2 linked regions of the Medicago truncatula genome follow. The protein of the gene in region 1 binds, or shares a complex with, the protein of each later gene. Links are inferred from orthologs where the notes say so. Each region holds a gene or a part of one and is shown on either strand. Other genes may lie near its edges. The genes, in order: rho guanine nucleotide exchange factor 8 and rac-like GTP-binding protein RAC13.

Evidence for each region.
Region 2: the proteins of rho guanine nucleotide exchange factor 8 (region 1) and rac-like GTP-binding protein RAC13 are in contact, whole or in part, in a crystal structure (PDB 2WBL), measured with the Arabidopsis thaliana proteins. The link is inferred for Medicago truncatula from reciprocal best matches to the Arabidopsis thaliana genes ROPGEF8 and RAC2. Residues at the interface, in NP_189105.1 of Arabidopsis thaliana: Lys95, Glu100, Asp101, Met102, Ser103, Lys107, Leu113, Asn117, Ala118, Thr120, Asn121, Leu122, Ala124, Ser125, Glu129, Arg143, Arg217, Asp218, Ser219, Glu220, Lys233, Trp234, Trp235, Gln265, Met269, His325, Leu328, Asp329, Gly383, Leu384; in NP_199409.1 of Arabidopsis thaliana: Phe6, Asp14, Gly15, Ala16, Val17, Pro37, Thr38, Val39, Phe40, Asp41, Asn42, Phe43, Ser44, Ala45, Asn46, Asn55, Trp59, Asp60, Ala62, Gly63, Glu65, Asp66, Tyr67, Asn68, Arg69, Leu70, Arg71, Pro72, Leu73, Arg76.

The regions. Positions count from the first base shown.
Region 1 is NC_053047.1:40,423,000-40,438,866, reverse strand, and holds rho guanine nucleotide exchange factor 8, read left to right. Parts: upstream 1-9,782; 5' UTR 9,783-10,135; coding exon 10,136-10,421; intron 10,422-10,799; coding exon 10,800-10,916; intron 10,917-11,270; coding exon 11,271-11,425; intron 11,426-11,849; coding exon 11,850-11,924; intron 11,925-12,087; coding exon 12,088-12,363; intron 12,364-12,538; coding exon 12,539-12,856; intron 12,857-13,301; coding exon 13,302-13,724; 3' UTR 13,725-13,993; downstream 13,994-15,867. Other genes in the region: uncharacterized protein, read left to right, coding at 3,528-3,608, 3,751-3,931, 5,868-6,829; probable protein ABIL5, read right to left, coding at 14,269-14,358, 14,469-14,533, 14,651-14,799, 15,248-15,284, 15,392-15,491. UniProt on the Arabidopsis thaliana protein: Guanine-nucleotide exchange factor (GEF) that acts as an activator of Rop (Rho of plants) GTPases by promoting the exchange of GDP for GTP. Active as homodimer.
Region 2 is NC_053045.1:42,628,584-42,644,245, forward strand, and holds rac-like GTP-binding protein RAC13, read left to right. Parts: upstream 1-7,672; 5' UTR 7,673-7,880; coding exon 7,881-7,979; intron 7,980-8,067; coding exon 8,068-8,155; intron 8,156-8,240; coding exon 8,241-8,350; intron 8,351-8,438; coding exon 8,439-8,502; intron 8,503-8,634; coding exon 8,635-8,699; intron 8,700-8,799; coding exon 8,800-8,865; intron 8,866-9,007; coding exon 9,008-9,106; 3' UTR 9,107-9,364; downstream 9,365-15,662. Other genes in the region: LOB domain-containing protein 2, read left to right, coding at 685-1,491; WUSCHEL-related homeobox 9, read left to right, coding at 12,929-13,255, 13,579-13,772, 13,877-14,175. UniProt on the Arabidopsis thaliana protein: Inactive GDP-bound Rho GTPases reside in the cytosol, are found in a complex with Rho GDP-dissociation inhibitors (Rho GDIs), and are released from the GDI protein in order to translocate to membranes upon activation.

The sequences.
Region 1 (15,867 bases):
GTTTACAATTTACTTTCGTAGTTTATATTTCTATTAATTTATTCTTATCTTTCCTAGTTCCGAAACACATTGAAATTTGACAAGAATGAAAATAAGATCACCATTCTGTAGACTCGAGATAAAAGGGAGCAATTTTTCCATGGTCATAAGCTAAATAAATAGTTTTTAGACACACTCACATAAAAAGATTATCTTAAAAATATTTAATTTTTTTTTTATCATTAAAAAATAATTGTTTATATGTGTATGACTAAACACTATTTGTTTATTCTTGTGACCATGTTAGAATTTCTCGATGAAAGGGATGTTCCAAAACACATCAAAGGTAAGTATTTTGAGTTAGAGTATTCATATGGTCTTGTGTGCTATCGATGCCTTTCAACAATTAACAATGTAGTTTCCTTCAATCTCTTAAAAAAAAAATGTAGTTTCCTTCAAAAAAAAATAAAATTAACAATGTAGTTGGTTGATTTTTGCATTGAATTTGTACAAAAGCAATGAAAGGAAAGTTGAAACAACATAGCGATAGATATGTTGGGATTATACTTCCTTAACTGTCTAACATTCTCCTGATTGATTATATAATTATAGGTTTTGTATTATACCTTCCCATATCTCTCTCTGTATGTTTTCATCTCTGACAAATGACGAGAGATATATCTTACTTAGTAATTTTTGATGTCTCGCTCAGTTAATTTGTATGATAGTATTAATATCTAAGAGTGGATTGTGACTATAAATCTAACTCTACGTCTATCAACTAACATACATGAACGAATTACTCCAAATTCGTTATCTAAAAAGTATTTGTGAAACACTTTTTTTTTCTTTTCAATATTTTTTAATCTTTATCAACTACTCCCTCATCACTTTCATTTTTTCCTTCATCACCCTCAACTCATTCACCTCTCTTCTTCTTGCTCTTTTTCTACTTCTCAACTCTATTAATATACTAGTTTAATTACTTGCAAGACCATCATTAGTTATGTTAGACAATTCAATTGAGAGAAGATGCCCAATATGTGTCTCTAGGATCGTGATAGATGTTTCGTTATTCTTGTTGGAAGCTTCTTGACTTTTGGCCAAGACTTTAGATCTTGTCATGCGACACTTTCATGAACATGAGGGAGAATTTCTTTCATGTTAGACTCTTGTTGATTACCTTGATTAGGCATTACACCATGATCTTCCTTCCAATGGAAGTTAGGATGGCTCACTTACCCATGATTGTAATTGTTAATAGGGTCAATGGAACTTGGTTTAAAATGATGACAAGTGATTATGATTTCCTGAATTTCTCGATATCTTGTTTGGTAACACTAGTTTCTTATTCAATTGAAATTCCCTAAAAAAAAAACAATCAATTGAAATATCAGGTCTATGTTCATAGCATATAAAATACAGTGTGTTAAATTTTAAGAGATAAAATTGGTACTTTTATCTTTTTATTGGCCATCTTTTCCGTTTGAAACGGTTGTGGTCACTAGCCAAAAATAAAAGGGTGTCAATGAAAATGAGAAGCATGCAACGAAATGCAGGAAATTAAAATAGAAGGATGTGTTAAACACTACCATCCATTCTCATATCGTGAATCGAGAATTAATTCATTTGTTATATTTCAGTATTAAACACGACAATTCATTCTCTTATCATGAAAATGTGAAATTTAAACACGACAACTCATTCTGTTATCATGAAAATCTAAAATTTTTGTTTTATTTTGCTTCAGTTTTTTAAATGAGAGACTAGTTTGTCCCCTAAAAAATCTTTTTATTCCCCAGTTGGCACTTAATTGACATTGTTAACTTAACGCCACATAGTTAAGCTAATTGTACACGTCATATGTAGGTTCAATGATAAAAATAAAAATTCAGAGACTAAATTGTATCGGTTTTATATTATAAGAGACTAAATATGATCTTTTTATTTGTTGAGGATTAATTTGGCCCCTATAGAATTTCACAGGGACCAAAATGGTTCTTCACTTTTATTATTATTATTACTAGTGTTTAGAATGGCATTATGTGCCCGTTTGTCCAATTTTCTTCTTATTATGCACTAATGCATGTATATTATGAACAAATGATTTTTATGAAATTTTGATTAAAATTAATTTGATTTTGATTAAAATTATAGATATAGATAATATATATTTTACACTTTCATATTGTAACAGACTATACTTATTTTTTTTAATGATATCGAACAATATAGCGAATATAATATCTTTAAAAAAATGTAACAAATCTTAAAAAAAATAATATAACAAATATAATATAAATCTTTATCTTGTTGAATGACATCAACAAAATAACTTTCGATGAAATTTGTTTAAGTATAATTGGAAGGAGAAAAAGCCGCATATTTTTTATTTTTTTATATTAGGACTTTGAAAGTAACAAAAAAAAATTAGGGTTTTGGAATTCAATTCAATCTCTTACTTATAAATGTTAACCCGTCTCGCTATACTTAACTTAATTTTAACCTAATTTTTCCCTCCACACTTTTGCATTTAATGTTTATCTAAAGTAAAATAAAATGATGTTCCTAATTAGATGCTATTTTTTTTGGAAATGAATAACCGTTAACCTGTCTCGCTATATCTCTCTTCTCTTTTACTTATCTTCTTATTCCTAAACAAAGTTTTGTTGCCCTAATTTTAACTTAATATTTTAGCAACTTTTCCCTCCTTCAAAACCTAACCATATTTCCTAATTCCCCTCCTCAAACCCTAGCCATGATTTCCTAACTTAACTCCTCCTAAAACCTATCTAATTGATTTTCATAAACCATATCTCCTAACTCCCCTCCTCCAAACCCTCACCAATATATTTTAATTCTTTCTCCTAAACCGAAATCTCTTTTTAAAACCATACTTTTCTCTTAAACCGAAATTTCTACCTATCTAATTGATTTCCATAAACCATATTTCCTAACTCCCCTCCTCCAAACCCTCACCAATATATTTTAATCCTTTCTCCTAAACCGAAATCTCTTTTTAAAACCATACCTTTCTCTTAAACCGAAATTTCTTAATCAACATGGCTTCCATACCTTTCAATCTTTTGTAGGTCCGTTGGTGAAAAATCCTCTTTCCGATCTTGACAAAGCAATCAACAAGCTGAGACTGAAATACAGATCATATATCGTTGAATATGACATTGATGTTGTATGTGTTTTTTGTGAAATATACCTATTCTTAATTATTTGCATTCTATTTTATCAACGTTTGTGATGTTTTTGTTTGTTATTTTTTTAGGGTGCAGTATACTTGCCAAACATGTTTGGCGGTGATTTCGGAGATCAAATTGGGCGCTATGCAATATTGACTGATCCTAAGTCCAACAAGTTTGAAGTATTGATCGACAGAGTAAACGGAGCATTTTTTCTCACAAAGGGATGAAAAGCGATTCGTGACTTTTACGAAATCTCTTTCGTGACAGTTTGATATACAGTTGACTGATAGGTTTCACAAGAGTATCCCTTACCCGATTTTTGATCCCCCTATGCATTTCCTTCTTGACAAGATGAATTTGCAAGCAACTTTCGATGACTATCTCCCCCCAATAACATCTCTTCTCGCTTATCGTCACAATATCACTGACATGGTTCTTGATTTATAAAAAAAATTAACTGAGTATGATGTTACTAAAGGTTGCATGGTATGATACACTTTTCGTGTCCACCTTAACTTCTTTTATTCCTTTTCCGTTTAGTTGATATAAGTTACATGGATTTCTAATTTTGCAGATTCTACTTTACACCAGCAATGTTCCGCAGATGCTTGATACACTCAAGACAACTGTGAATATTATCGACGATTGCGGTAACTTATGGGTGTGTGAGCTAACTTTTGAAACTTTTCCTTATGAACACTTCAAGATAGGACGGCGTTGGAATAGGTTTGTGGAAGCTCGCAGGCTCCGTGAAGGTGTGAAGATCAGAGGGGGTGCTCCGATGGTTGGGTCACATGATACCATTTACCTTGATGTTATTTACAATTAGTCCATGTTTAGATAAATTGTGCAACACCTTTCCACTTTGAACTTTAAGTTTTAGTTTCTTAGAGTTTTGGAAGTATCTATTTTTTTGTCTTTGAATTTAGCAAATGTCCCTTGAATTTCATAAATAATTTAGCCTTGCTTGCTTTGGTTTTTGATTTATATATTTGTGTTTGTGCTCCTCAAACTATATTTAGTAGCATTGTTGTGTTATTGAAGCATTTTAGTAGCATAGCTTTTAGTAACATTATTAGTAACAATTACTATCTTTTGGTGACACTTTTAGTAACATTATTACTAACAATTACTAATCCTAATCTCTAAAATATGTTTTGGGTGGAATCAAACTAAAATCCTAATCCTAATTTCTCTCATTCAAGTAACTAAGAAATTTCATCCACATCTCTAAAGTAACTTTTTGGTGGAAACAAACTAAAATCCTTATTTATCTCATTCAAATAATTACGGGATTTCATCCACATCTCTAAAATATGTTTTGGGTGGAAACAAACTAAAAATCCTAATTTCTCTCATTCAAGTAACTACTAAAGATTTCATCCACATGTCTAAAATATTTTTAGGTGGAAACAAACTAAAATCTTAATCCTAATTTCTCTCATTCAAGTAACCAATAGATTTCATCCACATATCTAAAGTAACTTTTTGGTGGAAACAAACTAAAATCCTTATTTCTCTCATTCAAATAAGTAAGAGATTTCATCCACATCTCTAAGATATGTTTTGGGTGGAAACAAACTAAAAATTCTAATTCCTCTCATTTAAGTAACTACTACATTTCACCCGAGTCAACTATCCTAATAATTTGTTCTGCGCCCCTAAACCCTATTTACAAGTCAATTCTTAAGTCAAACACACTGCCCCATCAAAAATATTAATTTCATATTATTTGTATTTATCTTTATCCTAAAATGTTGGGCATTTCCTAAATTTATTCCACTTCAAGTGCATCCATTTGTTCCGCGCCCTCCCTATTTACATTCCAATTCTTAAGTAAAAAAAATGCCTCATCAAAAATATTAATTTCATTTTATTCATATTAATCTTTATCCTAAAATGTTTGGCATTTCCTAATTTTGTTCCACTATTTTGTGCTTATCGTGATAAGTAATACTCTTTATTGCTCAACCATCATATCTTACTCACACGTATTGTTCGAGGGGTGGTTTAAAGATATTGATTAATGACGAGGACGGCAATTATACCGATGTTGCATCAAATGTGGTCTACAAAGAAGTTTTCCGTAATGTGTAGGACTTTTTTGTGTACTATTCATTTTCTTACTTATTGAAACTATTTGCATGTCAACAAACTTCAGTTTCCCTTTTAAAATTATATGTTATGTTAAAGTAACATAAACTGCGTCTTAGAATTATGGAACAATAACAAAGTCTATCGTAATTGACATTATGCTTTGATTCACGACAATTTTTACATTCAAGCGCACTACATTGTTTTATTTTTACAGTGAATATTTACTTCTTAAAATGAACCGTGTGTTAGCATGGGTCAATGGTCTAGTAAATGTTAACCCGTCTCCTTATACTTAACCTAATTTTTCCCTCCACACTTTTGCATTTAATGTTTATCTAAAGTAAAATAAAATTATGTTCCTAATTAGATGCTATTTTTTTAGAAAAGAATAACCGTTAACCCATCTCGCTATATCTCTTACTTATCTTACTTATAAATGGTAACACGTCCCGCTATACTTTAACCTAAGTAAGAGATTATGTTAATTATACTTAACCTAACTATTTTGTTACCGTCAAATATTACCATCCATATGACCCGTGCTTTAGCACACAGGTCGATGGTCTAGTTAAATTGCGTACTTTGGTTGTTCAGAGATTAGGGTTTTGGAGTTCAACATGTTAATCAATGCTTCCTCCAGAATGAATCTCTCCAATGGCTTGAGGCTTCCTTCATCTTCCAGAATGAATTTCTCCAACGGCGTGAGGCTTCGCTCATCATCTCATCCCTGCAAATCCACACATGATGTAGGAGTATTCTATAGGTCATTGGATTATGGACTTTCCAGAGTTATCGAAGGACATAAACCGGTGCTACCAATTCGATGCCTTGGACAAACCGATGGAGTCTCTGATGCCGACTTTTATGAACACTTCGAAACTTGGTGCAAGAAATATGGAAAAACATACTCTTCAGAGGAACATAAACGCTATAGGTTCAAACTGTTCAAGGAGAACTATCCCATTAAGCCTCCTCACAATAACTACCTTTCTCTACAAATGCTCAATGAAAATTCTAATGAAGAAGATCACCCAAATAACTCCTCTCATCCCCTCACTATCGAGGAAGCCATTCAGAAATATGGATATGGCCTCTGTCCTTACGAGTACGACTTCCTCCCGGCTCCTCAACCCGGCACCATGTATCTCTATAACAATGGAAACCCTTTAATTCCATTAGATTCTGATTTGGCAAAATATTTACAGATTTACCAGTTTTTCGAACGCATTGAGATGGATGGTGACAACTTGAATTCTTGGAAAATGAAGGTAACTGAAGAATCCATGAGCAAAGGAAAGAACGTACTGAATTTCCCAAAGAAAATTTCAAAGAGGTTTTTGATCGACAATCCTCCTTACATGAATGTCATTGATCAGGAGTTCGGTGTACATTTTCCGTGCGAGGTGAAGAGTTCTGGTGGAGATGTTAATGAGAAATTTCTTTGTGAAGGATGGGATGATTTTCTTAGAGCGAAACGAGTTAAGGAGGGTGATACTCTGATCTTCCCCATGTCAAAGAATGGAGGGATGATGTTGGTGCAAAAAAATTCAACTTAACACCATGGTTTGATGAAGAAAGCTTTGAGGATTAGGTGACGGAATTAAAACATGTTTAAGTTCTAATTTGCTGTTTTTTAATGTCTTGGAAGTTTTAAGTGACAATGAAGTCTTATGTAAAAATAAATAAATGGTGTACTTTAGATTATATTATAATTTTTTTTTACCTTTTCAATAATTCAATCTTTATGGTTTACAATAGTTTTTGCATATTTGAATGGTATGCAGTTCAAATTTTGTGGTTCAAATTGAACCATCATGTAATATGTTTGGATTGCTATTTTTCACATACTATTTATCGATGACACAGGCACGAGTGGTGTTCATGACGTGATCGTGAACTCTTATCTGCATAACTAGAGATTAAAAATGCAAATGTCTTGTCAAATTCTTCAGGACCATATATGCACCTGTATAGCATTGCATTGTTTATTATTCTAGACTCAATGATATAAATGTTATTGCCTGTCATGATTGGTGATCTTCCAATGCATCACTTTGATTTGCATTCATCACTAGATAAGATTCTTTTTAATCCTTATTGGAAATTATTTTAGGCTATTGGCATTCATCAATTCTGAAATTTGATTGACTCGGATATTAGCTACCATGTAGTTGTATTGATCAAACTCAAAACAAGGTTGCTCCGTTGGATCCTACTAAAATATTCAGAGAAAAAACCTGACATGAATTTTTTTGGTCCAATGGCATGTGGATGTGGATCAGTTTGCAAACGACGCAATGCTCGTAGGATTGAGGATTGGATTTGGTGACTTGGTAACATACTGAACTATGAAATGAGTTGATACGTTCGCTTGAGGCCTTACATACTGAACTACGTAATTTGGACTTAAAATAGAGAAGCCCTCGACTCTCACGTAGAATCACACAATACTCGGTAAGATCTTCTGAACCAGTACTAATAAAATCAACAAACAGTTTGGCATCTGAGTTGCAATGACAAACGCCTCTCCCAGCTTAATTTCTAGTAAGGTATAAATAAGACCATGTAGTCGAGCCTGAAATAAAGCTTCTGGTTGCATCTCTCGCACACAGGTTTGCTGATGTTACATTATTACAGCGAAAATATCCCGCATCAGTATTGATTCTCCCGGTGCTATTTTTAGTGAACATAAGAAAAAGCAAAGCACAAAGTCTAATACTAATACAATAAGAATGCAACTCTGCTACATCAGGTAGCAGGTCTGAAACTTCGAAATTCGACCTCCAAACGCCATGTTCTTTATTAATTGGTTGCAGAGTGAGCATTTCTTGACTTCATAGTTGACTTCTTGACTTAAACAATAATGTGTAACAATCTTTTTTTTTCTTTTCCCATGAACTAAGTGTTGAAGTGTTTAATAGAAATGTGCAGCAACTAATTGTTTCGAACAATAAGAGAATATATTGAGACTTTTACATATAATCCAAACATGACATTGACATTAATTTGAGAAAATTGAACCATTGAATGTAAGCACATATCGCTGTTGTATCAATGTTGGACACCGGCATACGTCGTATATTGACGCATGTTGAAAACCAAACACGCCTTCAACCGGAAGTGTCGGTGCCAAATAGATTATGCATCAATTCAGTTCTCAAATAGTTTGTTTTAGGAAGCCTCTCAAATGCTTTTGAAGTTTTTATGAGATACGTATGTTGTTAGAAAAATTCGAAGAAAAATCATAATGAGATGTTAATTAAACTTCAACACACTTCATTGGAGCATAACCAAGTCTTGATTTCTTCATATCATACAAAATATACAACAATTCTGTTGTTAATAGTTTCCACTTATTGAAAGTGCAGAGTGACCTATGAAGCAAGGGTACAGACACGGACACAACACGGTCAATGACACGCCGACACTGCTAATAATTTGAAAAAATCACATAATTAAATGTAATTATATGTGTCGGTGTCGGACACGACACGTGTCTGACACCGAAATACGCCTAATCCAAAGAGTGTTTGTGCTTCATAGGTGCAGACCAAGGCTAGGAATCACGAAAATAGACAAACAAACAACATCACCATATTCAATCTGAATTAAGTAATTCTCTAAAAGAAAATCCCAAAAAGTACCATCTGAAAACAAAATTCCAAATCCAGGTAATTCCATTTCTTAAATTCCACTCACATTATAACATGGCTTTGAAGGTGCAAAACTTTCAAAACTTTCTTAAATTCCCTTTAATTTTCTTCATGAATGCTTCCTTAATGATCTCATAACTAGGTTCAGCAAAATAAGTTAAAGATGTACGTACCAAAATCAATTATTGTACCACCAACACCTTTTGACAAATTCAAAGTTTCCCACCTAATGTTACTAGCAAAACAACTGCACTTAAAGCACTGTGCATAAGCTTGAACTATATTCTTGAACTGTCATTGGTATAAAATATAATATAACTGTTAATAGGCTATGTACCAAAAATCCTATGTATTTTTGCCAACTTGGATCTTTATTTTTTTTTTGTCTAAGTTAGCAAACTCGTATATATAAAGCTTAGAGCTTAACATTTTAATCTTGGTAAAATGGTCAAACCACCTTCCCCAATTATTTTTTAAGGATTGGAATAAAGCATTTCTCACATGGATTGGAATAAAGCATGTTCCCTTCTAATTATAGTGATCTCATTTTCTGGCTATCCGGAAATTAATCCATATTTTATATGAAATGAACTAAAGAAAGTTTAACCATTAAAATGGTAGTTGTGCATATTCAATTAGATGCCAATTTTTTCATCCACTAACTAATAACTTAATTGTTCTTTTTTCTTTTTCCAATCCGTTTTAAAATTTTGTACAAAGGGATGGTAGAAAAATAAGAGATAATAATTACTACTATAGTTAGAAATATGCATAATTTTCTTTGTCATTTATGGTTAGTAATTTCATGTATTAACCTTCTCATCCACTCATTCATAAAACAAACTCAACAAATTTCTTTCTATCATGAAACCAAACCTAACCATTTTACATGCAAACAAAATTTCATTAATCTAACATATCATCTTAGAATTTTTTTTGTAACATTCTTTAACATCATTAGATTGAAGGAGGGTTATCCCTTTTCATAATTACCCTTCTTTTGTCTTCTTTATCTAATTGATCAAATACTAATTTCAACAAGAAGAAAGAACTCCTCTAAGAAAAAACAAGAAGAAAACACAACAAAAATTGCAAAGGTCAACAAATTCTACATCAAGAGATTCAATAGCCAAATTGTTTTGAACCTTTGTTTTTTTTTTTTTTAATAAAAAAAACAAAGGTAGAACATTAAATAAGGTCTAATTAACAATGGTTAGGGCTTTTAATCACCAATTCAGCATGCAGAAATCAAGGTCTTTTCATTTTAGAAAAATGTTTGAGATCCCTGGGAAACATATTCAAGGTTTATTTGATAAGGATCATGATGAAGGAAGTGATCATAGTGATCATAAAGTTCACTCAAAAAGCTTTGAATCAGCAAGATATACCAGTGATATTCCATTGGAAACTCAGCCAATAGGAGTTTCTCTCAATATTAATAATGATCATATTCAAGAAGCTGTAGCTAGAATGCCTCCTAAGCCACCACCAACAGGTATAATTTTTCTCTCTACATTTTAAGATCATAAGATTTGTTATTGATTTATAAAAAGAAAAATATAGTTTTGATATTATTTAATTTAGAGATTAATTTTTAGAAAAATCGAGTCAATTTGTGTTGTTAGCCGGAATTAAAATCATTTTTTTAAAATATATATTATCTATGGAAAATGACTTTCGAGATAAGCTACTCAAAATAATAATTTCTCATTTGAAGCAATTTTTGTTTTTATCATTTAAAAAAATGTAACGAACGGATGAAAACTTTTAAAAGTAATTATTTATTTTTTAAAATTTGATTTTTTTGTGTGTTCATGAGGGAAAAAACATAATTAAGTTGCTGAATATTCTTTTTTTAATGGTTTTGATTCAGAATCTGACTTGATGAAGGAAAGATTTGCTAAGCTGCTTCTAGGAGAAGACATGTCAGGTGCAGGAAATGGTGTTTCTTCAGCATTGGCTTTGTCAAATGCCATAACAAACCTTGCAGGTATATACTTTTTTACCCTCAAATCTTTATGGTAGAAAATGAAATGGTTTTGTAAATATTTTCCAAAAGTGGAAGAATTTTCTAAATTATGTGTCACATGACATGTGGTTTATAGGATTTAATTCGTAAATATTTTACACCGTCAACAAATCGTAATTGTCAAATCTTTTAAAATGTTAAACTTTAATCGTAACTACGTAGATTAATCATATGATAAGTAAGACTTTTTGTCAAGTGTAACTTTTTTACACTAACAATGCATCAAAATTAAACTCTATTAAAATCAAACAATAATTTTTTTAATGAAAGGGAACAACAACATTGGTGATTTATAAAATTCATGATTTCATGTAGCATCTGTTTTTGGAGAACAATCAAAGTTGGAGCCAATGTCTCAAGAAAGGAAGACTAGGTGGAGAAAAGAAATTGAATGGCTTCTTTCTGTGACTGATCATATTGTTGAATTTGCTCCATCACAACAGTTAGCTAAGGATGGATCAACCATGGAGGTAAACACTCAGCTTGAAAATTATTTAATTGATGTATATCGTGGATCCGGCTCCCCTGCAATCAGGAATTCTCCGCATTCACACAATTGGGACAATGTGGGCGTTCAATCATGATCGGACGGTTTAGATTTAACCTCGCTATTTTGAATTAATAAAAAAAAAAATCAAATATGCATTTTTTTACCCTCTGATCTTGATGAACGACTACTGATGTCCCAACTGCATGAATGCGGAGAATCCCTAACTGCGTGAAATCCGAATATCATCAAGAGTCTCCTAGAGAACAATTATGATGTATCTTAAATGCTTAAAATAATGCTCTATTTTTAGCGTTGCAAATTTATATGCATAAGTATTTTTCCCACGACATTGGCTATATTATTGTGACACATAATAACATATTATGAATTATGGCATTATGTAGATCATGACAACTCGGCAAAGAAGCGATCTGCTCATGAACATTCCAGCCTTGCGCAAGCTTGATGCAATGCTCCTTGTAAGTAACTACATTTTTGCCCTATTTGGATATGCAACTTAATTTAACACTTATGGCATAAGCGCTTATGCCATTATATAACTTCAAATAAGTGAATCCAAACATACTTTTTTCTTAATTACTATTAGAATTTTGGACTAACTTTATGGCAATGTAATTATAGGACATTTTGGACAACTTTAGAGATCAAAATGAATTCTGGTATGTCTCAAAAAGTGATGAGGAAGCTGAAGGTAACACTGTCACTCAAAGAAAGAGTGACAAATGGTGGCTACCAATTGTTAAAGTTCCTCCAACAGGGTTATCAGATGTAGCTGTGAAATGGATACAGTTCGAGAAAGACAATGTTAACCAAGTACTTAAAGCAGCCATGGCAATAAATGCTCAAGTACTATCAGAGATGGAGATACCTGACAACTACATCGAATCTCTCCCTAAGGTAATATAATTAAGGGTCGGTTTAGATTGATTTATTTGCGCTTGTAATATAAGCACTTGTGAGACCGTTTGAGAGAGCTTATAAAAAAACGCTTTATGATCTCACGGTATGGTATAGAGATAATGCTGAAATCTTTATGTAACTAAGTTTTTATTTTCTTTCATGTCTTTGTCAGAATGGTAGAGAAAGCCTTGGTGAGTCAATCTATAAGTGCATTACTGTGGAATACTTTGATCCGGGACAATTCCTCTCAACAATGGACATGACCACCGAACATAAAGTTCTTGACCTCAAGAATAGGATTGAAGCTTCTATTGTAATATGGAAAAGGAAGATGAATAAAGATGGAAAATCTTCATGGAGTTCAGCAATAAGCATGGAGAAGAGAGAACTCTTTGAAGAGAGAGCAGAAACAATATTGTTGATGATCAAACAAGAGTTTCCAGGACTTCCACAGTCTTCACTTGATATCAGCAAAATCCAATACAACAAGGTGATAACAACGTTACACTCTTATCTGAATTATTGTTCGACTCACTTTTATCTGAATTTATCCAAACACCGATAACTTTACATTAAACTCACTTCTTACGGAAATTAACTTTATGAAATCAAATTTCGCTACAACAAAATCAAGCATAGACTAATATTCATGTTGGTTATGGCTCATAGTTTACTGATAGGTGGGGCGGTCGCTCTTGATTTCCCTTTGGATGGTAGTATTGAATCATGAGTTATAATATCTAACCCTAAGTTTGAATTATAGAAAATCACTGCAACGACTCTATAGTCGGAGACATAGGCACAACTAGTCGAACTTCGTGATCAAATCTTGTTTTTTTTCTTTGGTTGTATTTTCTCGTATCTACTTTCTTTTGAACCAAGTTTGCTATTCTAGCATGTACTGATGAAATTGACTGCTTCCAAAATGATCACAGGATGTGGGACAAGCCATTCTAGAGAGCTATTCAAGAGTAATAGAAAGCTTGGCTTATACAGTTTTATCAAGGATTGATGATGTTTTATATGTGGATTCAATGACAAAGAATCCATCGTTGGCGGCATCCAGTCGGAGATTCTCATTGGATTCTTTGCCAATGTCTGATCAAACATCTCCAAACTCTGAGGATAGTGGGATAGGAAGGATGAGTTCTTCAGACACACCACCATCAATGACTCTCTCAGATTTCATGGGATGGACAAAAGGAGATTTGAAAAGGACTAATTCTACAAGTGACTTAGAAGACTTGAAAGAGAAAGATGAAAAAGTTTTGAATAAGCTTGGAACACCAAAGAAAAATTATTACTTGGACAAGCTTGAATATTTGAATGCTATAAGAAGTCCTATCGCGCGACATTAATATCGGTAACGAAAAAAGGGAAGATTATAAAAGTTCAATGCAGATGTAAACAAACACAAAGATTAAGACCTTGGTTATGCAGTAGTAGAATCTCTTGTGTGTTTTTCTTCTCAGCATAACCAGCTTGTACATTATGTAAAGTCTCTTAGGTTATTGTGTAATTTCTGTACTTGTAAATTCTTTTATTTCTTCAAAATAGTGGAAGGTTCATAGTACTTCTACTAATGTTACTGTTAAAATGGTCAAAAGACTTTTGAATAGGAGTTTGATTAACACTACAATTCTTTACTTTGGTAAAAATCTCTTTGAAAAGTACTTTTGCAAGCTTGATTTTGTTTAGTTCAAAAGTTGCAAGTTCAACGGTTTATGTTTTTATACATCGTTATAATCATCATCATATTTCCTACTAAAACTACAAAAACAACTACTAGTTTGAAAGTGCTTCAAAATACAAATATTTTATTAATCATATTTGATTCTTGAATCATGTAATTAACACTAAACTTCCACATGAAAATGATAAGAAATTATGTTCTCCATTTATTCAATGTTTTCGTTTCGAGCGCTTAATGAGATATAAGATGTCGCTTCCATGCAAGGATCTTCTATGACGCGGCGTAACCTTTGGAGTACCCTACAATAAATAATTAAGCCATTACAGTTACAAATCCATGACTAAAAGAGAAATCAAATTCTTTATGCAGCATGAATCAGGAGAGTGAGACATTTCAGAAGAAAACTCACATGGAAATCAAATGCAGGATTCGAAACTTTTGCTAACACTGATAAACCGTCACGAACAGGCATCACTAGCATAGTTTTAATTAGGATGGAAAGAAATATATGTTAGAGATGCAACTAAAAAAAATGGTTATGTAGAAGAACATAAGATAACATTATATTTTCATAAGAACATGATATGTTACCAAAGGCTAAATTGTTATGCTTGCTAACTGTTGCAGTTGCTGGCTTCAAATTCTTAGTTGTACATGGATTCTGAGTGTACATGTAAAGTGGCAAATCCCCCTGTATATGTTTATCTTCTTTTTTTAAAGGAACTTCACTTTTAGAATTACTGCATCAAATAAAATATATGTATTTAGCATGTCATATCTAGCATGGTTTTTCTTGGTTGTGAAAATTAAAAAAACTTAATTACCTTGTTGGTCCCTTAATTTACTCTAAAAAGTGTTAATTTGGTCTCTAAAGTTAAATCTGTTAGTAAATTAGTTATTTTCGTCCAATTCGCTGGTCAAAGTCCATGTCACATATTATGTGTAATTACACATAATATGTCACATCAGCATAAGATGCACCCTTTATGGGAATTTGGATGAAAATGTCTAACTTTTACTAATATGGTTAACTTAAAGGGATTAAATTGACAATTTTTAAAGTTAAAGGACCAAATTGAATTTAAAAATTAAGTTAAAAGATAAAAAAGTAATTAAACCATTAAAATATATATTGTGAAACATTGCTCATAATCAGATTCATGAGAGTATTGAGGAACCAAGAGGTACCTTAATTTGTCACTCTTTGATCTCTCAAGGATAGGAGCTGATCATGAAAAACAGCATTGAATTAGTAACATTACATTGCAATTGATTTGCAAAAAAATAAATGTTGTATGCATCAAAATAATCAAAGGTGACATGGAATATTACGTGATGATAAATATCTGGTATGTAATCTTGGCAATTTCTCCCTCCATTGCATATTTGATAGGGCAACCTTATCAGCATATTGGTCACATGTGAAAAGTCTCTGTCAAAAAGCATCATCTTTAGTAACAGTTGTTAATTTGCTATAACTATGTTAATATTTTTTTCTCCCATTTGAAACTTAAATTTTATGAAAATGATGTTACTAAAGAGGTAATAATCAAGTTTGTGCTTGAAATTGTAGGGTTGTATCGACCTAATCCCCTTCATTATTAATATTCTAAAATACTAGTACCCTTATCAATATTTTAAAATAATCATCGAAATATTAATCTAATCTATGATCGTTCAATCAAGATAGAACAATGTATATTATTCAAGCTCGGTATTTTAAATTGTTATAAAATCATATAAGTTTCAGATTGTCTGGTCTTGATTGAACGATCATCAATATCACAACACGAATGTGGGATCCTTGG
Region 2 (15,662 bases), on another chromosome or scaffold:
ACATCACTGACATGGTTATTCCGGAGATTTGAATATAGTTATATGTGTATGCGCAGACATTTGTATTTTGCCGTTTTATCTATTAACATGGATGCTGTGAGTCTGTTCACAAATTCATCCTTTTTGTTTTTAGCAAATTTGCATTATATCGATGTACTTTATCAATTTAAATGAATAAATATCATTTATTTTTGTCAAAAAAAAAAGACTGTATCAAAAACAAAAACGGTTTGCAAAATATTATTTTTTACAAATATCCAATCAGATTTACTAAAATATATTATTTCCTAATTAAAACGTAATTGAAAATAAATGTGCAATTTTTATAGTCTCATGACACAAAATTATATTCAGGAGAATCTTTTAAATAAGGAACAATAAATAATCAATTGATTAGTTCATAATAAAAAAAAACTTTATTTTTTTGACAAGAATAAAAAAAAACTTTATTATTATTTTTTAAAATAAAAAGACTTTATTTTTTGTAAAAACATTCTTTACTTTTTTAAATATATATATTTTTGGATATATGAAACCCTAGATCTGAAAAGCCCTAATCCTAATTTTTCCATTTCCTTGACAATTAAAGGAGGAAAACCTAGTTGAAAAGAAATAAAAAGGGTTGAAAACTAGCGTTGTTGGCGGCACCGGCAACACCGTAAGAAAAAGAGTGCCATCACAAAAATGATAAACAAAACAGCATGTGCTCCTTGTAGACACCAAAAGAAAAAGTGCATGAAAGATTGCTTCCTTGCTCCTTATTATCCAACGAAGAAGAAACAAGAATACGACCTTGTTCACAAAGTTTTTGGTTACAAAAAGTTGGAAAAAATGCTCAGAAACCTTGATGAACAAGGAAGAAAAAAAGCCATCGAGTCTTTTGATTGGGAAGCAAAGATGTGGAAACAAGACCCAATCAATGGTCCACTTGGTGCATTCACTGAAGCTCAGAATGAAATAGCACGACTACAAAACCTACTCCAACAACAGCAAGACCAAACTGTTCCATCTTCTGACCCCAAATTTATGGGTCTTGCCCAAAATTCATTCTCTTACAATAGTGATGCTGTACCTGTTTCAAGCAATGGAAATTGGTCTTCTTTTGAGGCCCCTTTTGTGGCTAACAACAATGTTGTACATAATCCCTATTTTGAATATCCTTATGGAGGAAATAGCTTTGGAAGTATAGGTGCTTTGCAAAACGAGGAAACAAATTTATTGAACTGTGTTGTTGCTGGTCCTAATGTTTGGCAACCTTCACAACCCAATTATTTGCAAAGTCTTGCAAGTAGTTCTGGGACTAAAGTGACTGTGGATCATAATATTATTACCAATCAACATATGGGAATGCAAGGAGAAGGTCAGCAGCATTCTAAGTATTATTCTTTTGGAAACTGTAAGGAATTCTTTTCACTGCTTTTGTCTCTTGTTGGAATTGATATTTGTGCACCATTTTCTTTGGCATCTTTTTTGTTGAATATAAAGTGTTGACATATGTGTTTTGCTTATCTTATCATCTCAATTTTGTATGCAATATACATTTTTTTAACTAGGATGTGCATATTGTTAGGTTATTTACATATGTCATCGTGAGCTCAGCTCAGTTGGTAGGGACAATGCATAATTATATGCAAGGTTCAAACCCCGACCACCACAAAAAAAAGGGTTATTTACGTATAAATATACCGTGCTTAGGTTAAAGTTGCGAGGGAATTTTTAGGTCCATAATATTAGTTAGGTAGCAAGTGCATCTTTGAACTCACTATTATACTATATCATTTGTACGCACTGTTGTAATTGACTCAAAATGGATGATTGAAGTTTGACAAGAATTGTGACACGATTTGGTGAGATCATGGTGTAATATGGCTCAAGGTTTTGGCTCGACTTTTTTCGTGGCACCAAAGGTGTAGATCGTGATACGATTTAGTGGATAAGTAAATTCATATTGTGTACGAACTTACAAACCATGGCATGATTGAAGGAAATCGTGGCACAATTTTCTCGGGACATGTGCAGTTGGGAACTTTAGGGTAGAGTGTATTTAGTGAGAGTTTTTTCTTGAGTTGAGAAACATTTGTAAGCATCTTGGGTAGTGAGATCTCATTAGAGGAAGGATCTAAAAGTTTTCTTTAGTGTTTTCTCTTAGGATTCATTGTGAGTGTGAGTGACTTGAAAAATGGATAGAAATTATGATTTGTTCTTTGTGAGCTATTAAGCTAATTTCTTGTAACCTCTTTGTACCCTTATCATAGTGGATCAGAGAGCTGCTATCTCCTTCATAGTAGGTCATTTTGGACCGAACTGGATAAACAATGTATGCGTGTTGTTTTCTTTCCCTTTATTTCTTATCTTTGTTGCTTTGAATATGCTTTTGGTGGCTTCACACTTAATTAGATCTAGGTATATTTGTTGTTGTTGTTGTTGTTGCTGCTGCTGCTGCTGCTGCTACTTGAGGTTACTTTGCTCATCTATTACTACTTCCATATTGCTCCGTACATCTAAATTTTATTGGTGTGATTATTTGTTCGAATTCACAACACACACAATTAATTTTAACATGTACTTTTTAATAGATTTTAGGAATGATAATTGAATTGAGGCTCGTTGAGTACTCGCAAAAAATAGCCATGAAAACCAACATTATTTTATAAGAGCAATCAACCAATGAGTGTGTGAGGGTCTGGGTACATATACCTTAGTACCTTCCTCGCGTTATGGAGTTGAGTGATAAGCAGTTTAAGGGTTCGATCTCTATTTTTAGTATATTTTTTTTCCTTGTGAATCGGACATCCTATGCACCCAACTGAAAAGACAAATCTCTCGATTCAGATAGGACCACAATTGATGACAAAACTCTCTCTCAAGAGATTTAACACTATTGTATTTTCAGGATTGAATTCAAACCTATGGCCTTTGACCAAACTCAAAGAAATGTCTTACCATCTAATTCAAAGACTCCTGGGCCTACTCCTAGTATATTGCTAACAATATTAACGTTGGTGGTTTTAAAAAAAAAATTTGTCGGTCTAATTACTAAATTTTCCTTCTTGTTTCTATTTATATCATTGGTTGACAGTAATATGTACAATTAATGATTGATTTTAAATGAAAGATTTTTCTATCATGTGCAAACTTGCATAAAATAAGAAGGCAAAAGTGATAAGTTTATGTTGAAACTTATACACTTTATATTAAATACATATATAACTTTGTAATGAATAATTGTTGTTTTAATTTTTTTTTTAACCATTTTTAGTTGTCTTAACCTATGTAATATTGCATAGTAACGCAAGATTTCTTGTTGTTAGGCAAAAGAACGCAACATTAAATGGATCTATGACTTATTTTGTGTGTGATTAACTATGACTTATTCTAGCAAAGAAAGCTTGTGAATTTATTATTTCAATGTCTACTCATTGAACATGTTCACAACAACAACAAAAAAATGACAGCTTCACCGGGGTAAATCCCTCAAAATACGTGTTTTCCGATGAATTTTAGAGGACCATAGTGTGTCCGTAGCACAAATCATCGTAAATTTGTTCCGAGGAACACAATGTGCCCGCAAAATGTTTTGAAAACTGAATTAGTTAAATAGCTTGGTTTGTAATGTTTAATGATTCATTTTGAACAAATTTAAGTGGTTTCTTTTTTAGTTCAGTTACAATACTATTTCGTTATTTTTTTTTTAAAGAAGACTAGTTTGTTATTTACTGATTTATTATTGTTTGTTAAAGTGCGAGTGACACGTATGTGTAACAAACTTATGTATCTATATGGTATGAGTGTAGTATTAAAGTTGTTGTCCATGTGGATACAAGTATTTTTATTTTTTTTTTAAATTGTGGCTAGGGACAGGGGCGGAACCACCCCCCAGCTAGCCAGGCTCAGCTCCAACTTTCTTTGTAACAAGTCCAGATTAGGTAGAAGTTTTAGCTTCTCTTACGGATTTACCCAAACTCTATATAATTTTTTGCCCAAACTCTATATAATTCGTGACTCTGCCACTGGTTAGGGAGACAAGCAATATATAGTACCCTCTCCAACTATAGTCTATATTCCTAAATATAATTTGGCTACAACATAGATTAACTTAAAATTAGGATCCATTCTGTCCCAATCAGTTTTACTGTTAAATCCATTTATCTTTATATGAATGAATTTAAACTTAAATTGTTTTAGAATGAATATTTAATTTGAAGCCTGAGAAAAATAAAGAAACAAGGACCCGAGTTGGTCCCTAAAAAGAATAAACTACTTTTGATATTTAGAAATTTAAACCATAATCACATACTTTGATTATGATTTGCACCCTTAAAAAAGGGGTATTCTTCAAGGTGGTAGGGTTGCAGATTGTGTGTGGTGCCTCAAGACTTTAGAGACGAGGAGGATTATTTGTTTTGTACTTGTCAATTTGCCAGGTCAGTTTGGGACCAAATTTTTAAGTGGGTTTGAACGAGAGTGATCTTGCCGGAAAACATCATTTCTCTTTTTGATTATTTTTTCTCTTCCTCTTCGAAATGTTAATCGCGGGAAAGACCTAATGCTAACATGACATACTACTGTATGAAAGATCTGGGAGGCGAGAAATGGTGTTATTTTCTCCGAAAATAATCCAAGGGTAGAAGAATTAGTTGATGCTATTAAGGTTACCTGTGGAAGATGACTTCTTGCTAGGAAGAAAGGGGATCCTTCTCTGTCTTATGAGTGGTTTTCAAACTCTATAGATTGTCTTTTGTTTTAGGTGTTTGTCATTGTAGTTTGGTGGGTCAAGTATCCCTTATACTTCTCCCTATTTGTACTTCTCTCATTTTTCAATAATATTCATTTTGCCGTTCAAGAAAAAAATACATTGGTCCATGTGGTTAACTTGCATAGAATGACCAAATTTTTTATGCTGAGTTGCAGGGACGACCCCAAGCGTAAGCTTGTGCGTGCCATGGCCTCACTAAGGATGAAATTATGCATACAGAGAGGATAAAATTTGACAAAGGTCCGCATTATAACATCAAGTTTAATAATATTTAAAAAACTAAAAGTCTCCCTTCAAATAAATAAATAAAAGGTCTACCTCTCATATTTGTATTATTCGAAAGATGAATGTTTAAAATATTATTTGACTACTTATGTATTTATTGATATAAATTTATATATGCATTGAGTGTAATACTCACAATATTTGGGTTCGTCGTTGGCTCGTTGCTGAGTTGTATCATTAAATTTAATGAATCCGATTTAAATTTCAATCAATAGAATGTAGTATATTTAGAAATGTATGTTTGAGAATATGTTACTAACACTACCAATCTCAGTCTCATGTTGATCCATTCAAAATTAGGTTCAACTAAAAAACTAGGCGCCTTATGCATATGATGGGATATGAGATATTATGAAAAATGCTAGATGTCGCTCTTATATTTATATTCCTTTCTGTCTTAAATTTCATTAGTTACTCCTAATTTATTAGATGAGTTATTGTGTGCATGTGAAATTACACTTGTTTGTGAGGTTTCACAATAATTTTGTTGTTTACAAAGTTTGGTGCGACTTACCTGACAAATTTTACTCAATTTCTTAATTAGATTGACTTGATGATTTTGTACAACGGAGCTGCTGGTTCATGTGTAAGCATTTCTCCACACCTATGTATGGTGTTTTTGTTAGTTTTATTTTTCCCCACATGCTATCTATGTCTAACTCACTGTTTCATTTCATGCATTGATCAAATTAGACTTTGATTTCATTTTTATTTTATTTTTGTGTAGACCTTTTGAACAATGGAGTGAAACAGACAACAGATGAATGATTGATACATGAGAGATAGTTTTTTTTGTATACCTTAGAAAAGAAATTACATCCAATAACTCATTGGAAGTTTTGCAAATTTACATTTTCTACAAACCTATGTGATGTTTAGGAGAGAAATAGTTTTTTTTGTAGCAAGTTTCTTTCTAGTTATTTTAGATTTTAATTTTTTTGGAATATATATTGTTGCTACTATTTTTTACGGCAGCAACTTAAGCATTGATATAGTGTCTAAACTACTTTTATGGTTGCTAAGTTTAATGCGATGATTTTATTCATTTTATCGGAACCTTGACACAGACATGTGTAAATAGTTGAAGAAATTCTATTACGGTAAATGTGAAATGAGTTAGAAGTTCTACATTGTTTAAAAAAAATAGAGGCTGAACATTTTATAAGTGGGAGGACCCACGAACTCATTAGTGTCCGGTTCATTTGTGTGGTTGCTTTTAATTCAATGTGGATGATCCGCCATGCTTCCCTCTATGACCCAACAATGGTATTAAAGTCGACGATTCCACGAATGATGTTCAAGTGACGTGTTCTGTTGAAAGAGAACCAATGGCAGTGCAAGTAAGTGTGTGTGGATGAAAAAGCTTACACTTGAAGGGGAGTATAGTGAATGGAAATCACTCGTACTTGAGAGTGGAGATTGTTGTGGCAAGTGTGAGGTGAGTAAGAATTCACATATTTCTTAAAAAAGTAGAGGTTGAACAATTTACAAGTGAAATGTCCATAAATCTATTATCTTAAAATTTTGGATCAAGATGTGATGTCCAACTCGCTGTTGTGGTTCTCGATTAAATATAAATGATCCCTAACTTCCCCCTATGGTCCAGCATTTTTGATATACTTGTTATATGCCCCAAAAATGTGAAGTGTTGTAGTGAGTTGGATACACGGGAACAATGGAGTCAAGAATCAGAGTGCTTTCAGCTCTCATAACTTTATGATGGTGCACCCATCAATCAATTTTTAGTAATTTTAACATTTGTAATATGTCTTCTTTGTTAAAAAGGTTTGTACATGATAAAAAAACTGAGGTGGCATTGCTTTCCTTCCCTCCATTGCTCTCTTCCACCCATCCTCCGAATATTAACTTTTGATCCTCAAATTTTGTTAACAACGAAAATTGTCATGATAACATTCGTAAAATTATTACTTTTTTTTTTGTCTATATATGGCTTCATGGTAAAATTTTGGCTCGCTTTGCCAGTGAAATTTAACCAAATAATAATTTTGCTTAGGATTCAAATTCAACCTTAACAAAAGCTTCTTAGCCAATTGGTTACCATATTATTTTCCTATGGTTAGAGAGTGTACGACTGAACTGAAATTTCGATAAAATAAATAAATGTAATCAAATCATTATGGGTTTGTAAGTTGCAACGACTGAACTGAAATTTAAATAAAATAAATAAATCAATGCATTAAGAGAATACACAGCATGCAAAAATACATTGCTTAGTATAATGTTTTCCATTGAAGTTTTTGTGTTACAATAAGGTGGAGTAAAAAGCATTAACTTTTTTTGGACCACTCCAATAATAGTGGACCCATGAAGGATAAAGAAACCAATGTAAGCTAGCTCAATCCGTTTAACCATAACCACAAACATATTATAATTAGAAACAAAGACATACCCAACAAACATGTCACAACAAACTTATTTGACTTACTTTACATCATATCATACCTCAAAAAATAATTCCTTAATTTCATTATAATGTATTAGCTAATTAAGCAAAAAATTCTTTGCTTTTCATAATTCATTACCTCCCTTCTCCCACACTTAACCAACTAACTAACACCACCACTATACCTACCTACTTTGTTACCATATCTACTCTTGTCCTTACACTTTAAGAAAAGTAACACTTTTTTATGTACATGATTATAAATTTTGATCAATTTCATGAGCCACAACAACTAAAAGTAGGTAATATAGACTTACTCCTAAGTAGTTAAAGGCTTGCTTAGTCACCCCCTCCTTTAACTTCCATCATAAATATTGTTTCAATTGTTTCTTTGCAACTATAGTTTATGATCTTAAGTTAAGAAAAACAAGAAGAATGAGTACTGCTAGGTTTATCAAGTGTGTAACAGTAGGGGATGGTGCTGTTGGAAAAACTTGCATGCTTATATCCTATACAAGCAATACCTTTCCCACTGTATGTTTCTAAATAGTTCAATTTACATGTAAAAAAATATAGTGATGAATCTAATATATTTTTTTTTCTTTTGATTTTTCTATGATAGGATTATGTTCCAACTGTGTTTGACAATTTCAGTGCTAATGTAGTGGTGGATGGTAGTACAGTTAATCTTGGTTTATGGGATACTGCAGGTTAGTCTAAAGCTTTATTTTTTACTTTTAATATAAATCAATATCAAGTTTTGATGAGGTGAAATTTTGTGTGGATTACTTACAGGACAAGAAGATTACAATAGATTAAGGCCATTGAGTTACAGAGGAGCTGATGTGTTTTTGTTGTGTTTTTCTCTCATTAGTAAAGCTAGTTATGAGAACATTTCCAAAAAGGTTTTTTCCTCTATACATTACCTTATAAGTTAGATTTAGATCTCTATTATTTTTTGGTACTGTAATAACATTTTTAGTTTATTAACAGTGGATATCTGAGCTGAGACATTATGCTCCAAATGTGCCTATTGTGCTGGTGGGAACAAAATTAGGTAAGCTATTCCATCTAAGTAACATTTCAACCACCATTATATTATAAGTTGACAGTAATGAAAATTTCATTTGATTATAGCTTACAGAACATTCAAAATGTCTGATTATGTTTAAATCCTACGTATGCACAGATTTGCGAGACGACAAGCAATTTTTTATCGATCATCCTGGAGCGACACAAATAACAACTGCTAAGGCATGCCGTCGATAAATAAATTATTCATAAAAATTTCTATATTTGAAACCAATATTATTTTGAATGTACAATGGATTTAATCAATGATTGTGGTGAACAGGGTGAAGAATTAAAGAAAATGATTGGAGCAGTTAGTTACATTGAGTGCAGCTCTAAAACACAGCAGGTAAAATTACAGCACTTCTTTTTTGGATTTAACTTTTTTACTGTTTCATATTTTGAAGCAAAAGATGCTACTTAATTCAACTATTATATTCCAATTGTGAAGTATTTTTTTAAGTATTTGTTCTAATTCTTTTTGTTTACAGAATGTGAAGGTAGTTTTTGATGCTGCAATAAAGATTGCATTGAGGCCACCTAAGCCAAAGAAGAAACCACGCAAGACAAGGACATGTACATTCCTCTAATTTGGGGGGTGTGAAAATAATATATAACCACTCCATTTCATTTTCAGATTTATATAGCAGAATTGAAACCATAAGCTTCAATGTTTTGTTTGTGATTTTATAGTATATAGAATGAAAAAAAAGAGTCTTAAGGGTTATGGACTATCTTAGTGAAGAATTATTGAATTAATTATTTTTCTTTTTGTGTCTAGTTGCTCTTGTTTATGTAGTTACTCATATTTGAAGTTAAATTGGGAATTCCTTTTGTATTTCATGATATTCTGATTCCACTTTTAACTTTAAGTTGTTTCTTTCACTTTGGATTGTTCAAATTTTAAACTTAATTAAAGGAACTTTTTGATGACTAATCACTGTGAAAAAGTTAAATTTGAGCGACATTAGCTTGTGGCATTAAACCAACATAAAACTGAATTTCAGAAAATCAAAGTGATTGAATATAAGTGGTTAATGCGTTTATCGGAATGCTGCCTCAATTTTGATGGAAAAAAAATGAACTGGAAATTTGCTCTTTAGGCATTCATGATTTGCTCTTAAGCACCATAAACCGACGAAAATACTCTCAGTAGCAATAATTAACGATTGTTTTGGAGACTTTTTAAAACGGTTGGAACAATTGAAGAAGGAATTTAACGGATTTAAAAAATGTTTAAAGGCTGTTAATTGTCATTTTGTGGTGAACAACACTTAACGGTCGTTCAACCAACGATAATTGTTAAATTAAGCAATTAGAGGGTGACTCATGAGCAGCTTTCAATGAACTGACTAATCGAACGTAGAAGGTGGGTTGGGCTAATCAAATTCAAAGCCTAAACTATTTAAAGTTCAATCCAATCTCTAAAAGAAAATTATTCTTCCTACCCCTCAAATTGTACTCTTACCCCTATAAAGCACATGAAATCCTAATTTTACCCTAAACATGTTAAATATTTTAAAGAAAGGTGGTTATTCATTTGGACTTGGATCCTCTAAGGGTCACATAGCTGTTGCACCGTGTAGCCGTTTGAGGAGATCATTTTTGTATCCATTAGTCAAGACTATAGTTGTTGTGGATGAAATACTTTCCACCCCTTCCAATTTCTTTGCTAGGGATAAAGGCATCAAATTGATGTTCGACCCCAAATCACTTTAGGCTTCATGAATAAGAATCTTACCAATCATGCAGGGTATAACAAAACATCGTCTTTTTATTGGCGTGTCACCTTCCTTCTTCTCTTCACTCTCTACCCCACTTCGTTCAAGCTCTTCCTTGGATCCTCTTGTTTCGAAAAGAAAGTTTTCATAAGCTAAACAAATCCTTGTAATGGACCCAAAATGTCAGAGAATTTGAATTTGTTGTCGCTAATGGACAACTTCTTCGTGAACTTCCCCACATCATCTTTGTTCTGGACTTCTTCTTTAACTCCCGCCTTCATTATATTGGGACTTTCACCTTCCAAGCTAATAACATATGTCCTCACTTCCAACCACCACCATCAACACCCTGCCCTAAAGAAAAAATCTAAGCAACTAGCACCAAATGATTTCCAGACAAATCAAAAGGTCGTCTAAACCTATTACATAAAGGATCACCCTCTAACCACAAATCAATCCAAAACCTCTTTGAATCATCATCACCCACCACTCACAACCCACATCAAATTATCACCATACCAATTACAAACTCCATACCCAAACCTCTTTGAATACCAACTATATCTTTCTATTAAGTTGACCCCTTCTTCCTTTACTCATACCTAGCCGCAAGAACCTGATATCACAAACACCATTTATTCACAAGCACCTTCGAACACCATTTACCGAAAAGGTCCAAATTGAACTCCTAAATTCTACGAACCCCCAAATCTCCTTTCTCCTAATCCAAACAAATTGTGTCCCATTTAATCACATGGATTTTTCTAACATCCTCACATCAACTCCTCTCTCTTCACTGGTTTCCAAACAATTCCTTCTGCTCATTATTATTATTATTTAATCAAACTAACATGTTTGTGTGTATGAAAGAACCAAATCAATGACTTTATAAATTCAAAATTTCAATTGAAACAAATTAAATAGATTTGATATTTTTTTTTTCATGTTTGGGGTGTCATATAAGGAATAAAACCAAACAAATTCATTTTCAAAATTGAACCGTTGAGATCAAAACGAACAATTATATTTGATTATAATGTACTTTATGTTATATTAGTAGTTATTTCTTAGAAAAAAATATTGTATTTCTTTTAATAATTAAATATAGGGTTAATTAAGTTTTTGATCCCTATAAATATATGCGATTTTGTTTTTAGTCCCTATAAAAATAAATCACACTTTTTAGTCCCTACAAAATTTTCTGTTAGTGTTTTTAGTCCCTGTTAAATTAAAATTTAGTTAATTATGCTTAAACTTCTAAATTTTTGAAAGATTTGTTACATACATGTTCATAACATCGTAAGACACTCTTTTATAATTTTTTTTTAAATTTTTTAACATGTAATGAATTAAATATGAATTTTTCTAAAAGCCGAAATTTTAAGATTATATTAATAAAAATTTGGACCTAATAATAAAATTTTAAGTTACTTTTTTGCGGAGGAACTTTATATAATATTCTAAGTAAGTATGTGAAAAATATGTTACAAATTTAAAAGTTTAAGCACAATTAAGCAAATTTTAATTTTACAAGGACTAAAAGTATGTGTTGTTCCCTATTAAATTGAAATTTGTTTAATTATACTTAAAATTTTATATTTTTAAATGATTTTTAACAAACATGTTAAGAAATTATAATAATCTCTTTTATAAAAAATTAGAATTTTTTAACATGTAATGAATTAAATTTAATTTTTTTAAAACGCCAAAAATTCAAGATAAAACTAACGAAAATTTGGACCTAAAAATAAAATTTTGAGCTAATTTATTGTGGCAAAACATTTTATAACGTTTTAAACAAGTATGTAAAAAATCATTATAAAATTTAAAATTTTAAGCATAATTAAACAAATTTTAATTTAATAGGGACTAAAAACACTAACGGAAAATGTTATAGGGACTAAAAAGTGTGATTTATTTTTATAGGGACTAAAAACAAAACTGCATATATTTATAGGGACCAAAAACTTAATTAACCCTTAAATATAAATTTTTCTATTGTAGTTTATGTAATTGTATTGGTTTATAAAATAAGTGTGTGAAATTATTTTTTTACATTTTATAAAGTAAACTCCTTATTTTTTTTAAATCTGATTGAACTGAATCGAAGAATCTAAACTAGCCCACAAAAATTGACACCAAAGAGAATCGATAGACCTTGAGGAGGAGCACCCTCTAAGATCTCAAACCAACACGGTCACCAGTCTAATCCAAATGGGTTTAACGAATAAAGAGTTGGTATATAATTTTTGTGTGAAATATATATGACAAAATATCAAGAAAATGAGAGGAGCAGCTATAGGGACTTGGATTCCATGAATGAATTCATATAATTTAAAAGTGACTGCAAGAGTAATTTTATCCCTAAAAAATGTGAAAAAAAACCTAAATATCAAAGTTTTATTTTATCGTTAACTATTTGATCTTTTTTAATGGTTTAACCATATCTGTTTGATTGTGTGAATTTAAGATTCCAATCAAGTACGGATTCCTAAATTCACACATTTAAGCAATATAGGCAATTAAAAAATAACATAGTTATTATAGAAGTATCGTAATACTCCATAGTTTGTACAATATAATGAACATCTTTCAGTGAATTTTATAATTGGTGAACATTGCATGAGAGAACTCCAAAACCAAAGCCTAGATGGAACCCAAAGCTTGAGCAAGTAGTGTTGTAGGCTAAATATGGTTTGGAGGCAATTCCTTAATAGATTACCCACTAAGTATAATCTAAGCCTTAGAGGTGTGAGGTTGAATTCATCTTTATACTGTGTTGGCGGTTGCGGTAGGCTTGAGACTGTGAACCATATCCTTTTTAATCGTGCTGTTTTATGGTCGATTTGGAGTGAGTCGTTGAAATGGCTCGGTGTTTTGGCTGTTTTTGTTGAAGGAGGATTTGAGCGTCTCATTTTGTTCAAAGGTCTAGTTGCAGGAGGTAAAACCGTTTGTGAGAGGTTGGGAGTGATATTGGTCTCCATTATCTCTTCCATTTGGAATGCTAGGAATGCAAAGGTATTTAAACAGGCTGCTATTAAATGGGAAAAGGGAGCAGATGAATATAAAGTTCTATCTTGAAGAATTATTCAATCAAGATCGACAAGTTTTGTTTTTGGATCTGCGCTCTTCTGTTTCTGTGGAGCATTCGTGTTGGTTCTGTTTTGGTGTCTATTTGATGGCCGCAGGGACTTTCTATCGTGGGAGCTCGAGTTTCAACAAATTCGGTGCATACATACATCAGCTATCACAAGAAGTTAGGAACTATTTTCACAAATTTGTGTCATCCGTTCTAGTCCCTGTGTTGCTGTCTTGAGTTGGTTGCTGTTTTGAATTGATAGGAGGCTTCTGGTTCTGGAGTTGGATTAATCAGCTGCAAGGAATGCGGGATTTTGAACGTGGATCTGGATTGGAGAATTTGCCAAATTTGCTTTGGTTTGATGTATGTTCTATCTGTCATTGAGTTTAGAAGTTTCAGGAAGGGTACTGTGCCATTAGTTTCATCTTATAAAGGTTTACATATGCAAGGCTTTTGGTATTGGTGTAATTAACATTGTACATGTATTCTGATCCTGTTAAAACTTGTGCTAGGATAAGTGTTATAAATAAATTTTTGCTGTTTAAAAAAAAAAAAACAAGCGATGTTGAACCCGCGGAGAATAAGGTTAAAAAGATACATGAACAACTACAAGGGTTTGGACAAGTTGGTGCTGTTAATGTTTCTTACTGGTTTCAAAACCGTAACTCCAGAAGCAAACAAAAGAAAAGAATCTTGTACAACAAGAAACTAAAAACACAACAAAACTCTACTCCGTGTAACTCTCTTCCACAAATCCTCACACCACCACCCAACTCATTTTCCTCTGATCATCAAAAAGCCTCCATTGGATTCTCCAATATTAATGATGTGATGGTGTTGTTGCATGTTTCACCTGCAGGTCTGTGAACCAAAACCACCAAGGTCTCAAGGCAACACCACCAAGTCAATTTAAGTGGGTTAAAAATGATATTTTTACTGTTCATAAGTCCTAACTCAACTGAAAAAATAAATATCGAAATTGTTATGTCGAACGTCGTGAACAGGACTCTAACTCTGACTCCTACATTTGCGTTTGTAAGATTCAAATGGCTATTTTAATTTCATCCGTCTAAAAAAAAGATACCTTTTCTAGTAAAAAAAAAATACTTTTATAATGCAAATAACCTTTTACTTATAATCTTTTTATCGATAAAAAAGATCGTTAATTAATTTTTTATTTTAATTTTTTGTCAAATAACCTAGTGGTTAGAACTCCGACCCCAAATGTAATATATATATGGGATTTGCTAGAACACACCCACTAGTTTTTATGTGGGAGTGTTTTAGCAAGTTATAACTAAAAAGTTAACAAATACAGCTTAAGGTGTATGTTGCTATAACACACCTTCTAACAAAAACAAGTGGGTGTGTTCTAGCAAATCATATAGGCATTTGCTAGGATACACCCACTTAGTTTTTAGAAGGAGTATTTTAGCAATTAAATAACTAAAAAGTGGTTAAATACACCTTAAGGTGTAACTCTGCTAAAACACTCCCACGTAAAAACTAGTGGGTGTGTTCTAGTAAATATATATATATATATATATAATACAATATTTGTATCAACTTAGTCAGATTCATAAAACAACTCGTTACTTAATTTTTGAAATCAATTCGTTACTTAATTTATTAGTCAAGGAAACAAGTATATGAAAACTCCTTAAAAACTCCATAAGTATATAACTTAAGTCAAAAAGGAGAAAAAAGATATATGTATATGAATTGGTAACGGATGAAAATAAATAAGGACTCTCAATGTACCGTAAGTATTTTATAAATTTCAGAGTTCATTATTTAATACAATAGTGAACTTTGAATATTTTTAAGAAATACATAAAATGAGCATTAATGTTTATAAACAATGAAATAATATTTTTTTAAAAGAGTTTTTTCTTTTTTATAAATTGGATATCTTACACGCGCAACTGTAGAGATTAATCCTAAGTTTTGTGGGACTCAAATGGGAAACAAACTCTTCTTAAGAGTTTTAACATTGTTGCCCGTCTAAAATTCGTGTCATCTTATCTAAACACTCTTAGGTAAATTATATCATTAAACAAAACAGTTTACAAATAGTTATTCATTAAAAAGAGTTTGCAAATAAGTTAATCTGAACTCCTTTTTATGGTTATCTTCGAATCATATGCCATTTGCTTTTTGTTATCATGATTGGTGGCGACATTCACTCCTTTATATGTGTGTCATGTAATTTTTTGTTATTTTCCTTTGGCTCTTGGCGACCTCTTGTTAGGTGCCAATTGCCATCTTCTTGTAACAAACATTGTGTAATTCACCACTTTTAACACACCTTGTACAGGGTGAATTGCTCTTGGCATGAACAATATT